2 linked regions of the Pelodiscus sinensis genome follow. The protein of the gene in region 1 interacts with the protein of each later gene in a biochemical or structural test. Links are inferred from orthologs where the notes say so. Each region holds a gene or a part of one and is shown in the gene's direction. Other genes may lie near its edges.

Region 1 (7,561 bases):
CTTATTAAGAGAGCTTTAAACTAGGAATTTGGGGGAGACGGTTGGGAGATGCCCAGGTAATCTCTACGCCAGATTTTAACACTGAGAAGGAGGAAAATGAAGTAAGAAAGGATATAGCTGGGGGTATGAGAATGAACATGAGGAAGGGTAGGGTGGATACTAGTCTAATAGGTCATATTGGAGGTATAATGTCCGTGCCAAATTGGGTAAAGAATGTGAATGAGGCCAAACAGCAAAAATTAAGATGTTTGTACACCAATGCGAGGAGCCTAGGTAACAAAAAGGAGGAACTAGAGTTATTGGTCCAGGAAGTGAAACCAGATATTATAGGAATAACAGAAACATGGTGGAATACTAGGCATGACTGGAGTACAGGTATTGAAGGGTATGTGCTGTTTAGGAAAGACAGAAATAAGGGTAAAGGTGGTGGAGTCGCATTGTATATCAAAGATGAGGTAGATTGTAAAGAAATAAAAAGTGATGGAATGGAGAAGACAGAGTCCGTTTGGGCAAAAATCACATTGGGGAAGAAAACTACCAGATCCTCCCCTGGGATAGTGCTTGGGGTGTGTTATAGACCACCAGGATCCAATTTTGACATGGATAGAGACCTCTTTAATGTTTTTAATGAAGTAAATACTCATGGAAACTGCGTAATCATGGGAGATTTCAACTTTCCAGATATAGACTGGAGAACAAGTGCTAGTAATAATATTAGGGCTCAGATTTTCCTAGATGTGATAGCTGATGAATTCCTTCATCAGGTAGTTGCTGAACCAATAAGGGGGGATGCTATTTTAGATTTGGTTTTGGTGAGTAGCGAAGACCTCATAGATGAAATGGTTGTAGGAGACAACCTTGTCTCGAGTGATCATGAGCTAATTCAGTTTAAATTAAATGGAAGGATAAACAAAAATAAATCTGAGACTTGGGTTTTTGATTTCAAAAGAGCTAACTTTAGTAAATTAAGGAAATTAGTTAGGGAAGTTAATTGGACTAAAGAAATTATGGATCTTAAAGTGGAGGAGGCCTGGAATTATTTTAAGTTAAAGTTGCAGAAGCTGTCAGAAGCCTGTATCCCTAGAAAAGGGAAAAAAATTATAGGCAGGTGTGTTAGACCAAGCATCTCAGGGTATGTCTACACTACCCCACTAGTTCGAACTAGCGGGGTAATGTAGGCATACCGCACTTGCAAATGAAGCCCGGGATTTGAATTTCCTGGGCTTCATTTGCATAAGCGGGGCGCCGCCATTTTTAAAACCCCACTCGTTCGAACCCCGTGCAACGCGGCTACACGGGGCATGAACTAGGTAGTTCGAACTAGGCTTCCTGGAATGAGGAGTAACGGTAGTTCGAACTAGGGAATTAAAACCAATAGTAAAAGGTTTTATAGCCATATAAATAGGAAAAAAACAAAAAAAGAAGAAGTAGGACCACTAATTACTAAGGATGGAGTGGAGGTTAAGGATAATCTAGGAATGGCCCAATATTTGAACAAATACTTTGCTTCAGTCTTTAATGAGGCTAATGAAGAGCTTAGGGATAATGGTAAGTTAACAAATGGGACTAAAGATAAGGAGGTAGATATTACCATATCCGAGGTAAAAGCCAAACTTGAACAGCTTAATAGGAGTAAATCGGGGGGCCCAGATAATCTTCATCCAAGAATATTAAAGGAACTGGCACATGAACTTGCAAGTCCATTAGCAAAATTTTTTAATAAATCTCTAAACTCAGGGGTTGTACCATTTGACTGGAGAATTGCTAATATAGTTCCGATTTTTAAGAAAGGAAAAAAAAGCGACCCGGGTAACTATAGGCCTGTTAGTTTGACATCTGTAGTATGTAAGATCCTGGAAAAAATTTTGAAGGAGAAAGTAGTTAGAGACATTGAGGCTAATGGCAATTGGGACAAATTACAACATGGTTTTACAAAAGGTAGATCTTGCCAAACCAACCTGATCTCCTTTTTTGAGAAAGTAACAGATTTTTTAGATAAAGGAAATGCAGTGGATCTAATCTACCTCGACTTTAGTAAGGCATTTGATACAGTACCACATGGGGAATTATTGGTTAAATTGGAAAAGATAGGGATTAATATGAAAGTTGAGAGGTGGATAAGCAACTGGTTAAAGGGGAGACTACAGCGGGTCATATTGAAAGGTGAACTGTCAGGTTGGAGGAAGGTTACTAGCGGAGTTCCTCAGGGATCAGTTGTGGGGCCAATTTTATTTAATCTTTTTATTGCTGATCTTGGCACCAAAAGTGGAAGTGTTCTAATAAAATTTGCGGATGACACAAAGTTGGGAGCTATTGCCAATTCAGAAAAGGATCGGGATATCATACAGGAAGATCTGGATGATCTTGTAAATTGGAGTGATAGTAATAGGATGAAATTTAATAGTGAGAAGTGTAAGGTTATGCATTTAGGGATTAATAACAAGAATTTTAGTTATAAGCTGGGGACACATCAGTTGGAAGTAACGGAGGAGGAGAAGGACCTCAGAGTCCTGGTTGATTATAGAATGATTATGAGCCGCCATTGTGACATGGCCGTGAAAAAGGCTAATACGATCTTGGGATGTATTAGGCGAGGTATTTCCAGTAGGGATAAGGAGGTGTTAGTGCCATTATACAAGGCATTGGTGAGACCCCATTTGGAATACTGTGTGCAGTTCTGGTCTCCCATGTATAAGAAGGATGAATTCAAACTGGAACAGGTACAAAGAAGGGCCACTAGGATGATCGGAGGAATGGAAAACCTGTCTTATGAAAGGAGACTCAAGGAGCTTGGCTCGTTTACTTTAACCAAAAGAAGGCTGAGGGGGGACATGATTGCACTTTTTAAATATATTAGAGGGATAAATACCAGGGAGGGAGAGGAATTATTTAAGTTTAATACCAATGTGGACACAAGAACAAATGGATATAAGCTGGCTAGTAGGAAGTTTAGACTTGAGATTAGACGAAGGTTTCTAACCATTAGAGGAGTGAAGTTCTGGAACGGCCTTCCAAGGGAAGTAGTGGGGGCAAAAGATCTATCTGGTTTCAAGATTAAACTAGATGGGTTTATGAAGGGGATGGTTTGATGAAATAACATGATCTTGGTAACTAATTGACCATTCATTATCAGTGGGAAATAGGTCAATGGAGGGATGATAGGAGTTACTATAGAGAACTTTCTGGGTGTCTGGCTGATGAGTCTTGCCCACATGCTCAGGGTTTAGCTGATCGCCATATTTGGGGTTGGGAAGGAATTTTCCTCCAGGGTAGATTGGCAGAGGCCCTGGAGGTTTTTCGCCTTCCTCTGTAGCATGGGGTACAGATCACAGCTGGAGGATTCTCTGCATCCTGGGGTCTTCAAAGTATTTGAAGGCTTCAATATCTGAGATATAGGTGAGAGGATTATTCTAGGAGGGGTGGGTGAGATTTTGTGGCCTGCACTGTGCAGGGGGTCAGACTAGATGATCATAATGGTCCCTTCTGACCTTAAAGTCTATGGCTACGTCTACATTGGCCCCTTTTCCGGAAGGGGCATGCTAATTTGACAGGTCGTAATAGGGAAATCCGCGGGGGATTTAAATATCAGTTCCTACTTTGAAGTAGGAATAAGAGATCCTCCGGAAAAGGGCTTTTTTCCAGAGGATCAGGCCGGATCGGGGCCAGTATAGACGCTCTTTTCCGGCTTTTCTAAAAGCCGGAAAAAAAGTGGCGGACATTTTTATTTAAATGTTGCGGGGGGGTATTTAAATCCCCCGCAGATTTCCCTATTATGATCTGAAAAATTAGCATGCCCCTTCCGGAAAAGGGGCCAATGTCGACGAGCCCTATGAGTCTATGAATCACAGGATTAAGACAAAAATCTGAGGGTTTGTTGTTTTTTTTTTTTTGTAAAGAAATTGCGAGTCCTGCTGTAAAGCTTGAAGATGGCTGGGAGCTTCCTTCTAAACATTCTAGGGGGTGGCAACAGGAGCAGACCAGCCCCTCTCTCCCCGTGGACGCTGCTGCGCGCTGCTCTGTAGAATCGCGGAAGGGTTTTCAGCCAGTGGCGCCCGGCGGCCCTGGGCCAGTCAGGTGCTGAGCTGTGGCTGCAGGCGCTGGCCTGTCACAACGCGCCCCCAGAGACCCGCCCCCAGGCAGGCGGTGCTGTGGCTGGCAGGGCAGGGGCCCCCGCTGCTGGGGGGGGGGGCTGTGCTGCCGGATCAAGGTGCCTGCCGCACGGTTTGTGCTGTGACTCTTCAGCCAGCCCGATGGGAACTGAGGAGACAGGCGTGGCGGAGAGTGGGGGGGGGAGGGGAGGAGGAGAGTGTGTGTGTGTGGGGGGGGGGGTGGAATGTGTTTACGTCCTTGCCTCCCCCGCCTCCCCGGGGGCAGGGCAGGAGGCGGGGCCAGACCAAACGCGGCGCCTATCCCCTTAAGAGCGGCTAGCGCGGGGGGGGCGACGCGGATTGGCGGGACCGGCTCCAAGGCGCAGAGCTGTGATTGGGTGCCGGGTTGCCGTAGCCAAGGGAGACGGGACTAGGAGAAGCCGGAAGTGGGCGGTGGCGCGCGCGAGCGCGAGGAGCGCGTCGGGGGCGGCTGGCTGCCGGGAGGCGCAGGCTGGGAGGCAGCAGGCGCGCGGCGGGGCCATGGGCTGCTTCTTCTCCAAGCGGCGGAAAGCGGCGAAGGGGGGCGCGCAGGGCCAGGAGCCCCCGGCCGCGGGCGAGGAGAAGCCGCAGTACAGCTGGGACCAGCGCGACAAGGTAACGCTGCCCCCGACCCCCCCCCCTCCGGTGCTCCCTGGCGGGCGGTTTTCCCGGCGCTCGTGCTGCTCCCGTGGGGCTGTGGCGGACCCGGCTCTGCCGTAGCTGGTCTAGCCCCCGCCCCCCCTTCCCCTCCCCCGCAAGGTGGCGGGGCTCTGCTTTCGGGTCGGGAAGTTGCCTCCGCGGTCTCCCGGGCGCTTCAGAAAGTGAGATTGTCCCCGCCACTCCCCTGGGACTGTCGCTGACGCTCACCCTGGGCAGCAGCGTTTGATATTTGCCAGGCTTAATGCGACTCTTGCTACTGCTCCTTCTCCTCATCATCGTAAATTGCCCGCGTAGCCTTCCGTGGGGAGGGAGCTTGCGCTTTCCCCATCCTGCGGACCAAGTGCTGGCTTCCACTTCTGTTCCTTGTTATACTTGTCTGGGCGTGGTAGCATCGTCCCCATGAGAAGCAGGCGATGTGAACGCTAGCGTGCCAAAGGGGGAGGAATGGATTTCAGAGCTGAGGGCTGCCCATGAAAAATGGGATAAGTCAGACACTGGGTAGGTTGAGTACAGGTTGAACCTCTCTAGTCTGGCACCCTCAGGGCCTGACCAATGCTGATCCAGAGCATTTTATTTTCCAGACCATGGAAGTTGAGTTTTCTCTAGCAACATTACCAGCACTTCCACTGTTTACTGAGCTCTTGGAAAACAATTAGGGGTAAATTAGAGCTAAATAATAGCACAGAACACAGAGCTAGGACTGGTGGCTGTAAACAAACATTATGGGACTGCGGGGAAACTTGGCAGCAACCATAATAAATAGTCATCTAGCTAACTAAAATCCTGCTGGACCATGGATGTTGCCAGATGAGAGAATTTCAACCTGTAGCTCTAAAGTTTCAACCTGTAGCCCTACCAATCCTTTGTTTTAGGGTAGACTGTAATAGCCAACTGGGGCAAACTGCTCCTCTTCACAACACACTGCTTACTGGCTGGGCTGCCATATTCTGACAGTATTCTTTATAGGGCAAAATACATGCTAGTAGCATGAGGCTGTTTTTCACCCTCTCCCATTTAATTGGTACTGTAGCTTGTTCCTTTTTTGGCACTAAGTTAGCTGGTGACTGAGTTATATGGTAAGCGGTGGCAGATGGGGCCAAAGCTGTGTTTGTACCTTTATTTCTATTAATCCTCTGGCTTTCTAACCGTAATTAAAAGGGGTGGATGTTATGTACATTAGACACAAGTTAGAAAAAAAAGTAAAATTCAACTGCAGCTACAGAACCAAACTGACTTCTTGATTGAAATGCCTCTTTACCCAGGCATATTTAAAGTTAACCTAGCTATTTAGGGTTGCCAGGTGTCTGGTATTAAACCAGAGAGTTTGGTATTTTCGCCTCCTGTCTGGTAAAAAAAACTCAAAAAATACCAGACACCTAAAATGTCCGATACTTTCTGATTTCCCCCCCCCCCTCCCCCCGCCAGGAGGCAAAAATCCCATCCTGTCCGGCTCAATGCGGAGGCAGCCTGGCAACCCTATAGCTATTATGAGGTGTCAAGCATATGTGGAAGGCTTTTTTTTTTAAACTTGCATGTTATATTCTCTTAAGTGGTGTTTTATATTCCCCTGACACTCTTTACTTTTATTTGCTGGAGGTCCTTTTGGAGGCTCAGAAGTAGAGCTTCAGCTCAAAAAGTGACAGGATATGAGAGGGAGAGAGCGCGCTCTCTCTTTCAACAAAAAAGAATGTGAATAAAAATCCTTCTTTCATTTGTCACTTCATGTTTCACTTCCTTGGTACTTGTGATGTCATAATCCTGCTAGTTTTCCAGTCATCTATAGCTAAGACTTCCTGGAAAAAATAGAGCAATCTAGACATTCATTTTGTGCATGTGTTAAAACAAAAAACAGGCCACTTTTATGAGCCATAAAGAGAAAAACGGTATAAACTTTAAATATTGCGTACTTGATTTCTTTTTAAATGTGGCCAGATGCCCTGGTGTGACACACAAAGCTTTCTAGTGGATTATTCCAAGATTCGGGGTTAAGTATGTACAAATCTTGGAGGATAAGGACAAAGGAGGCTACCTCATGACTGACCTGATACTTCGATTTCCTAGTGAATACTTATGGCACAGCTTGCCTAATACAGTGCTTGCATAGGGAGGAGGGAGACCATGTTACTTATAGATGTTATTCCCTTGCCACAGTGTTACTGTTAGCAGTTACTACTACTTAGAGTGGTTTTTACTTGTAAAAGGGTACTACAGAAGTCACCAAAATATTAATCTCATTTAAAGTTAAAACAATTAAATTAGTCAACTACATTTTTGAGCCTGTTATTTTCAGCAACAAGAATAAGTTTAATATGAATTGATAGTTACAGTTACTGGCTAGCCCTGGGGAAAGAGGAAAGTCAAAACAAGTCATTAAGAGAAAATTCTATGCTCCTCCCTGAGCCCTCCTGCCTGCCCACCCCTTCGGTGTTATGCTGAGCTGATTTCTCGGAGGTGAATATATTACCACATTAGGAACAGTGTCTCAGACATTACAGTAGAGTACATTTGAAGTTAATGTTTGTAAAGTCTCTAATAGATTACAAAATTTTAAACAGTTCTCTGTATGAAAGAGAATCTCATTATTAAATATAAAGTTGTTGCACATAATGTTTATAGCCAATTGTGCAAGGGCTTCCTCTTTTCAGATATCACATGCAATGACTTCTGTCTTCTGAGTTCAGAGGACCATACTGAAAACCGCAGGATTAAATATTTAACTTTTGAATGTCTCAAGAAAGGTATATAGAAACTGCTTCAAATATTCATTACCCTTT
Region 2 (8,091 bases), on another chromosome or scaffold:
CCATTGGAGCCTTCCAGGCCCCTTGATGCTTGCACTGCCCCCCCCCCACTGCAGCCCCCATTGCAGCCTTCCAGGCCCCTCGATGCATGCACTGCCCCCCCCCCCTGCAGCCCCCATTGGAGCCTTCCAGGCCCCTCGATGCATGCACTGCCCCCCCCCCCTGCAGCCCCCATTGCAGCCTTCCAGGCCCCTTGATGCTTGCACTGCCCCCCCCCCCTGCAGCCCCCATTGGAGCCGTCCAGGCCCCTTGATGCTTGCACTGCCCCCCCCCCCCCGCAGCCCCCATTGGAGCCTTCCAGGCCCCTTGATGCTTGCACTGCCCCCCCCCCCTGCAACCCCCATTGCAGCCTTCCAGGCCCCTTGATGCTTGCACTGCCCCCCCCCCCCGCAGCCCCCATTGGAGCCTTCCAGGCCCCTTGATGCTTGCACTGCCCCCCCCCCACTGCAGCCCCCATTGGAGCCTTCCAGGCCCCTTGATGCTTGCACTGCCCCCCCCCCCCTGCAGCCCCCATTGGAGCCTTCCAGGCCCCTTGATGCTTGCACTGCCCCCCCCCACTGCAGTCCCCATTGGAGCCTTCCAGGCCCCTTGATGCTTGCACTGCCCCCCCCCCCCTGCAGCCCCCATTGGAGCCTTCCAGGCCCCTTGATGCTTGCACTGCCCCCCCCCCACTGCAGCCCCCATTGCAGCCTTCCAGGCCCCTTGATGCTTGCACTGCCCCCCCCCCCCTGCAGCCCCCATTGGAGCCTTCCAGGCCCCTTGATGCTTGCACTGCCCCCCCCCCCCTGCAGCCCCCATTGCAGCCTTCCAGGCCCCTTGATGCTTGCACTGCCCCCCCCCCCTGCAGCCCCCATTGCAGCCTTCCAGGCCCCTTGATGCTTGCACTGCCCCCCCCCCCTGCAGCCCCCATTGGAGCCTTCCAGGCCCCTTGATGCTTGCACTGCCCCCCTCCCACTGCAGCCCCCATTGGAGCCTTCCAGGCCCCTTGATGCTTGCACTGCCCCCCCCCCCCCCCTGCGGCCCCCATTGCAGCCTTCCAGGCCCCTTGATGCTTGCACTGCCCCCCCCCCACTGCAGCCCCCATTGCAGCCTTCCAGGCCCCTTGATGCATGCACTGCCCCCCTCCCACTGCAGCCCCCATTGGAGCCTTCCAGGCCCCTTGATGCATGCACTGCCCCCCCCCCTGCAGCCCCCATTGGAGCCTTCCAGGCCCCTTGATGCTTGCACTGCCCCCCCCCCACTGCAGCCCCCATTGGAGCCTTCCAGGCCCCTTGATGCTTGCACTGCCCCCCCCCCACTGCAGCCCCCATTGCAGCCTTCCAGGCCCCTCGATGCATGCACTGCCCCCCCCCCCTGCAGCCCCCATTGGAGCCTTCCAGGCCCCTCGATGCATGCACTGCCCCCCCCCCCTGCAGCCCCCATTGCAGCCTTCCAGGCCCCTCGATGCATGCACTGCCCCCCCCCCCTGCAGCCCCCATTGCAGCCTTCCAGGCCCCTTGATGCTTGCACTGCCCCCCTCCCACTGCAGCCCCCATTGGAGCCTTCCAGGCCCCTTGATGCTTGCACTGCCCCCCCCCCCCCCCTGCGGCCCCCATTGCAGCCTTCCAGGCCCCTTGATGCTTGCACTGCCCCCCCCCCCACTGCAGCCCCCATTGCAGCCTTCCAGGCCCCTTGATGCATGCACTGCCCCCCTCCCACTGCAGCCCCCATTGGAGCCTTCCAGGCCCCTTGATGCATGCACTGCCCCCCCCCCTGCAGCCCCCATTGGAGCCTTCCAGGCCCCTTGATGCTTGCACTGCCCCCCCCCCACTGCAGCCCCCATTGGAGCCTTCCAGGCCCCTTGATGCTTGCACTGCCCCCCCCCCACTGCAGCCCCCATTGCAGCCTTCCAGGCCCCTCGATGCATGCACTGCCCCCCCCCCCTGCAGCCCCCATTGGAGCCTTCCAGGCCCCTCGATGCATGCACTGCCCCCCCCCCCTGCAGCCCCCATTGCAGCCTTCCAGGCCCCTCGATGCATGCACTGCCCCCCCCCCCCTGCAGCCCCCATTGCAGCCTTCCAGGCCCCTTGATGCTTGCACTGCCCCCCCCCCCTGCAGCCCCCATTGGAGCCGTCCAGGCCCCTTGATGCTTGCACTGCCCCCCCCCCCCCGCAGCCCCCATTGGAGCCTTCCAGGCCCCTTGATGCTTGCACTGCCCCCCCCCCCTGCAGCCCCCATTGGAGCCGTCCAGGCCCCTTGATGCTTGCACTGCCCCCCCCCCCTGCAGCCCCCATTGGAGCCTTCCAGGCCCCTTGATGCTTGCACTGCCCCCCCCCCCCGCAGCCCCCATTGGAGCCTTCCAGGCCCCTTGATGCTTGCACTGCCCCCCCCCCCACTGCAGCCCCCATTGGAGCCTTCCAGGCCCCTTGATGCTTGCACTGCCCCCCCCCCCCCGCAGCCCCCATTGGAGCCTTCCAGGCCCCTTGATGCTTGCACTGCCCCCCCCCCCCTGCAGCCCCCATTGGAGCCTTCCAGGCCCCTTGATGCTTGCACTGCCCCCCTCCCACTGCAGCCCCCATTGGAGCCTTCCAGGCCCCTTGATGCATGCACTGCCCCCCCCCCTGCAGCCCCCATTGGAGCCTTCCAGGCCCCTTGATGCTTGCACTGCCCCCCCCCCCCTGCAGCCCCCATTGGAGCCGTCCAGGCCCCTTGATGCTTGCACTGCCCCCCCCCCACTGCAGCCCCCATTGCAGCCTTCCAGGCCCCTTGATGCATGCACTGCCCCCCTCCCACTGCAGCCCCCATTGCAGCCTTCCAGGCCCCTTGATGCTTGCACTGCCCCCCCCCCCCTGCAGCCCCCATTGGAGCCGTCCAGGCCCCTTGATGCTTGCACTGCCCCCCCCCCACTGCAGCCCCCATTGCAGCCTTCCAGGCCCCTTGATGCTTGCACTGCCCCCCCCCCCCTGCAGCCCCCATTGGAGCCTTCCAGGCCCCTTGATGCTTGCACTGCCCCCCCCCCCCTGCAGCCCCCATTGCAGCCTTCCAGGCCCCTTGATGCTTGCACTGCCCCCCCCCCCACTGCAGCCCCCATTGCAGCCTTCCAGGCCCCTTGATGCATGCACTGCCCCCCCCCCCCTGCAGCCCCCATTGCAGCCTTCCAGGCCCCTTGATGCATGCACTGCCCCCCCCCCCCTGCAGCCCCCATTGCAGCCTTCCAGGCCCCTTGATGCTTGCACTGCCCCCCCCCCTGCAGCCCCCATTGCAGCCTTCCAGGCCCCTTGATGCTTGCACTGCCCCCCCCCCTGCAACCCCCATTGCAGCCTTCCAGGCCCCTTGATGCTTGCACTGCCCCCCCCCCTGCAGCCCCCATTGCAGCCTTCCAGGCCCCTTGATGCTTGCACTGCCCCCCTCCCACTGCAGCCCCCATTGGAGCCTTCCAGGCCCCTTGATGCTTGCACTGCCCCCCCCCACTGCAGCCCCCATTGGAGCCTTCCAGGCCCCTTGATGCTTGCACTGCCCCCCTCCCACTGCAGCCCCCATTGGAGCCTTCCAGGCCCCTTGATGCTTGCACTGCCCCCCCCCCCCTGCAGCCCCCATTGGAGCCTTCCAGGCCCCTTGATGCTTGCACTGCCCCCCCCCCCCTGCAGCCCCCATTGCAGCCTTCCAGGCCCCTTGATGCTTGCACTGCCCCCCCCCCCTGCGGCCCCCATTGCAGCCTTCCAGGCCCCTTGATGCTTGCACTGCCCCCCTCCCACTGCAGCCCCCATTGGAGCCTTCCAGGCCCCTTGATGCTTGCACTGCCCCCCCCCCCTGCAGCCCCCATTGGAGCCTTCCAGGCCCCTTGATGCATGCACTGCCCCCCTCCCACTGCAGCCCCCATTGGAGCCTTCCAGGCCCCTTGATGCATGCACTGCCCCCCCCCCCTGCAGCCCCCATTGGAGCCTTCCAGGCCCCTTGATGCTTGCACTGCCCCCCCCCCCCTGCAGCCCCCATTGGAGCCTTCCAGGCCCCTTGATGCATGCACTGCCCCCCTCCCACTGCAGCCCCCATTGCAGCCTTCCAGGCCCCTTGATGCATGCACTGCCCCCCCCCCTGCAGCCCCCATTGCAGCCTTCCAGGCCCCTTGATGCTTGCACTGCCCCCCCCCCTGCAGCCCCCATTGCAGCCTTCCAGGCCCCTTGATGCTTGCACTGCCCCCCCCCCTGCAGCCCCCATTGGAGCCTTCCAGGCCCCTTGATGCTTGCACTGCCCCCCCACTGCAGCCCCCATTGCAGCCTTCCAGGCCCCTTGATGCTTGCACTGCCCCCCCCCTGCAGCCCCCATTGCAGCCTTCCAGGCCCCTTGATGCTTGCACTGCCCCCCCCCTGCAGCCCCCATTGCAGCCTTCCAGGCCCCTTGATGCTTGCACTGCCCCCCCCCCTGCAGCCCCCATTGCAGCCTTCCAGGCCCCTTGATGCTTGCACTGCCCCCCCACTGCAGCCCCCATTGCAGCCTTCCAGGCCCCTTGATGCTTGCACTGCCCCCCCACTGCAGCCCCCATTGCAGCCTTCCAGGCCCCTTCAGCCTTGCACTGCCCCCCCCCCTGCAGCCCCCCTTGCAGTGCAGTACCCCTGAGCCCTGCACTGGTGCACCGCTCTCCCTCTAAACCCCTCCCCATTAGGCTCCTTCCCTGCTCCCTACCTCCGCAGCCCAGGCACGCGCCCCTCTCCCTCTCTCCGGCACACGTGGTTTTCACCGCCCCTCTCCCTAACGCGTGGCCCTTGTCAGCCAATCAGAGCCAGCCTCCCACCTTGCTCGCGTCAGCATGGGACCTGGGAGCCAAGGCGGTTTAAGACGCATGCGCCGGACAGGGGCCGCCCTGCTCGGGGAGAAGGAGGGGAGGGGGGGATCGCCAGGGGGCGGGGCTTACGTCTGTCCCCGCCCCCTTGCCGCTAGTGCGTGCCGCAGAGAAGAGTGACGTTGCACGAAGGGGGCGGCGCGCATGACGCAGTTGCCCATGGTAACCCGGGAGCCGCGCGGAGGATGGTGAGTGCGGCCAGGGAGGGTCCTGCCGTGTGGGGGAGGGGCGGGGGGCAGCCTGGCTGGGGGGGCTCGGGTGATATGGAGAGCCAGGGAGGGGCTGGGGTGTGGACCCAGCCTGGGGGGGCTGGGGTCGAGCCTGGGGGGGAGGGGGGGCGGGGGTGTGGACCCAGCCTGGGGGGGCTGGGGTCGAGCCTGGGGGGGAGGGGGGGCTGGGGTGTGGACCGAGCCTGGGGGGGAGGGGGTGTTGGTACCCAGCCTGGGGGGGGGCTGGGGTCGAGCCTGGGGGGGAGGGGGGGCTGGGGTGTGGACCGAGCCTGGGGGGGAGGGGGTGTTGGTACCCAGCCTGGGGGGAGGCTGGGGTCGATCCTGGGGGGGAGGGGGGGCTGGGGTGTGGACCGATCCTGGGGGGGAGGGGGAGCTGGGGTGTTGGGACCGAGCCTGGAAGGGGAAAAGGGGGTGTTGGGACTGAGCCTGGGGAGGGGGGGGGCTGGGGTGTTGGGACCGAGCCTCAGGGGGAGGTGGGAAGGGGAGACTGGGGTGTTGGGACTGAGCCTGGGGGGAGGGTGGGGATCTGAGGGTCACAGCCAGGCTGGGGAGAGATGGGTGGTGATGAGATGGGGTGGGGGGTTAAGGTGCTATGGAGAGAGGGATGGGGGTCCAGTCTAGATGAGGAAGGGACTGGAGGGGTCAGCCTGGGTGGGGAGGAAGCAGTGTTGGGGCCTGGGGTTCTGAGAGCCAGGCCTGGATGAAGAGGGTAGGATGGGTGCTGGAGTGCTATGAAGAGGGAGGGAGGGAGGAATGGGGAACCGGCCTGGGAGCCTTCTTGAAAGGGAAAGGACAGGCAGGCACTCAGAAGTTTCAGGCATACGGGGCGAGGGTGGGAAGGGGCTGAGACAACTGCTGCAGGGAAGCATCCCATCCCACCGTGTGCAGGGGCAGGAGGACTAGCCTTAGGGCAGGATGGTGGGTTTGCTGGCTGTGTGCAGAAACTAAAGGGACAAGCTTATGACAATGGGACAAAGGGATGAACAGCTTCCAGTAACCCTACATATAGGGGGCTGCATTCAGTCCTCTGGTCCATAGAGATGTGGGCCTAGTTTTGCACATATTGGTCCAGGGCAAGGGGCAACCATATTTCCCCTATTTGTGGAGCTACAAGGATAGCATGCTAGGAACATAGCACATGCAGCATCTTTACTGTGATGATGTTGCATGCTATATTCCTCACCCATTCTAGCCTGCAATGCTTTACCCTGACCTATCATAAAAGATGTGGAGACAAAGATTAGGTAGGGACTCTGCTCCTTTGCTGGTTAGTTGATGGTGGGGCAGCTTTACATACTAGACACAGTGTTCATCGCAGGAAATACATCTGCTTTAAGATGAGGGCAATTACATAATGCAGTGTAGCACTCCACAAACTACGCTTTCACTTGGGCAGTGGTTGCTGACAAAGTTGCACTTCTGCTTTGTAAAGTTTGGGATATGCTGACAAACGATGAAGGAAAAAGATTAACAGCTTCCAACATCTGTGTTGACATTTAATTACATTTTGTAGGACCACTTTTGCAAGAAAACTATGTCTGTGGATTTGAGCGGGAAAAACATTCTAGGTGAATTGACTCCAGCAAATGCAGGGGGGAAAATGTATGCATTGATTGATATCATAGTCTAGAGTTTGCATAACAAGTAATTGAGTTAATTTTGCCTGTGTTAGTAGTAGTACTGAATAACCTGTGCTTAATAGATTAAGATGCTCCCATTGTTTTGAAAAAGGTTTAGTGCTTTTATATAACAGCGATAGTTATGCAGGCTAAGAGAAAGGTAATCAGACTTCTTCAGGGCATCAGCTAATCGGCTGCAGTAAGTGTGCACCCTTACACGCTGTGTACAGAATTACACAATGAACTAGGAATGAAACATCAGCTACTAGCCACCACTGATGGCATATTAGACTCAGTAGACCATTTGTTTGATCCGAACTGGCAAATACTATATAAATGCAGTGAAACCTTCCTGCTGGCATCCTCTGTCTTAAGCAATGATTTTAGAATTATTATTACTCACTACTGCAGAGTGCAGGAGCCTCAGTTATGGGTGAGGACCCCACTGTGCTAGGCACTGTACAAACACAGAACAAAAAGATAGGGAAAGGAACTAGGAGCTTACAGCCTAAAATAAGAGACCGCAGATGAAGATAGACCAGTGGGAGAGTACAGGGAAACGAGACAATGCTGGTCAGCATGGAAGGCAGTGATCTTGGCACAACTTAAAAGTGTGGTCAATACTTTTGTAGACATAATGGAAAAGGAGGGTTTTGAAGAAGGCGAATGAGGTAGCTCTGCAGATGTTTACAGGAAATCTTCCTAAGTCTGATTAGAAGAAAGCACAAAAATGCTTGTCCTGAAATTTAACAAATGGACAATGGAGGCTTGTACCATGGGCTGATCAGAGGCAGGAGTCATAGAATCATAGAATAATAGGACTGGAAGGGACCTCGAGAGGTCATCGAGTCCAGCCCCCCGCCCTCAAGGCAGGACCAAGCTCCGTCTACACCATCCCTGTCAGATGTCTATCTAACCTGTTCTTAAATATCTCCAGAGAGGGAGATTCCACCACCTCCCTTGGCAATTTATTCCAATATTTGACCACCCTGACAGTTAGGAATTTTTTCCTAATGTCCAAGCTAAACCTCCCCTGCTGCACTTTAAGCCCATTACTCCTTGTCCTGTCCTCAGAAACCAAGAGGAACAAATTTTCTCCTTCCTCCTTGTGACACCCTTTTAGATATTTGAAAACCGCTATCATGTCCCCCCTTAATCTTCTTTTTTCCAAACTAAACAAGCCCAGTTCATGAAGCCTGGCTTCATAGGTCATGTTCTCTAGACCTTTAATCATTCTTGTCGCTCTTCTCTGTACCCTTTCCAATTTCTCCACATCTTTCTTGAAATGTGGCGCCCAGAACTGGACACAGTACTCCAGCTGAGGCCTAACTAGTGCAGAGAAGAGCGGCAGAATGACTTCACGAGTTTTGCTTACAACACACTTGTTGATACAACCTAGAATCATATTTGCTTTTTTTGCAACAGAAT

What was found.
Region 2: the proteins of RP2 (region 1) and ARL3 form a complex in vitro, tested with the Homo sapiens proteins (2 studies listed by BioGRID). The link is inferred for Pelodiscus sinensis from reciprocal best matches to the Homo sapiens genes RP2 and ARL3.

What each region holds. Positions count from the first base shown.
Region 1 is NC_134711.1:225,182,655-225,190,215, reverse strand, and holds the start of RP2 (protein XRP2), read left to right. Parts: upstream 1-4,556; 5' UTR 4,557-4,628; coding exon 4,629-4,742; intron 4,743-7,561. UniProt on the Homo sapiens protein: Acts as a GTPase-activating protein (GAP) involved in trafficking between the Golgi and the ciliary membrane.
Region 2 is NC_134718.1:72,680,964-72,689,054, forward strand, and holds the start of ARL3 (ADP-ribosylation factor-like protein 3), read left to right. Parts: upstream 1-4,857; 5' UTR 4,858-4,999; coding exon 5,000-5,002; intron 5,003-8,091. UniProt on the Homo sapiens protein: Small GTP-binding protein which cycles between an inactive GDP-bound and an active GTP-bound form, and the rate of cycling is regulated by guanine nucleotide exchange factors (GEF) and GTPase-activating proteins (GAP).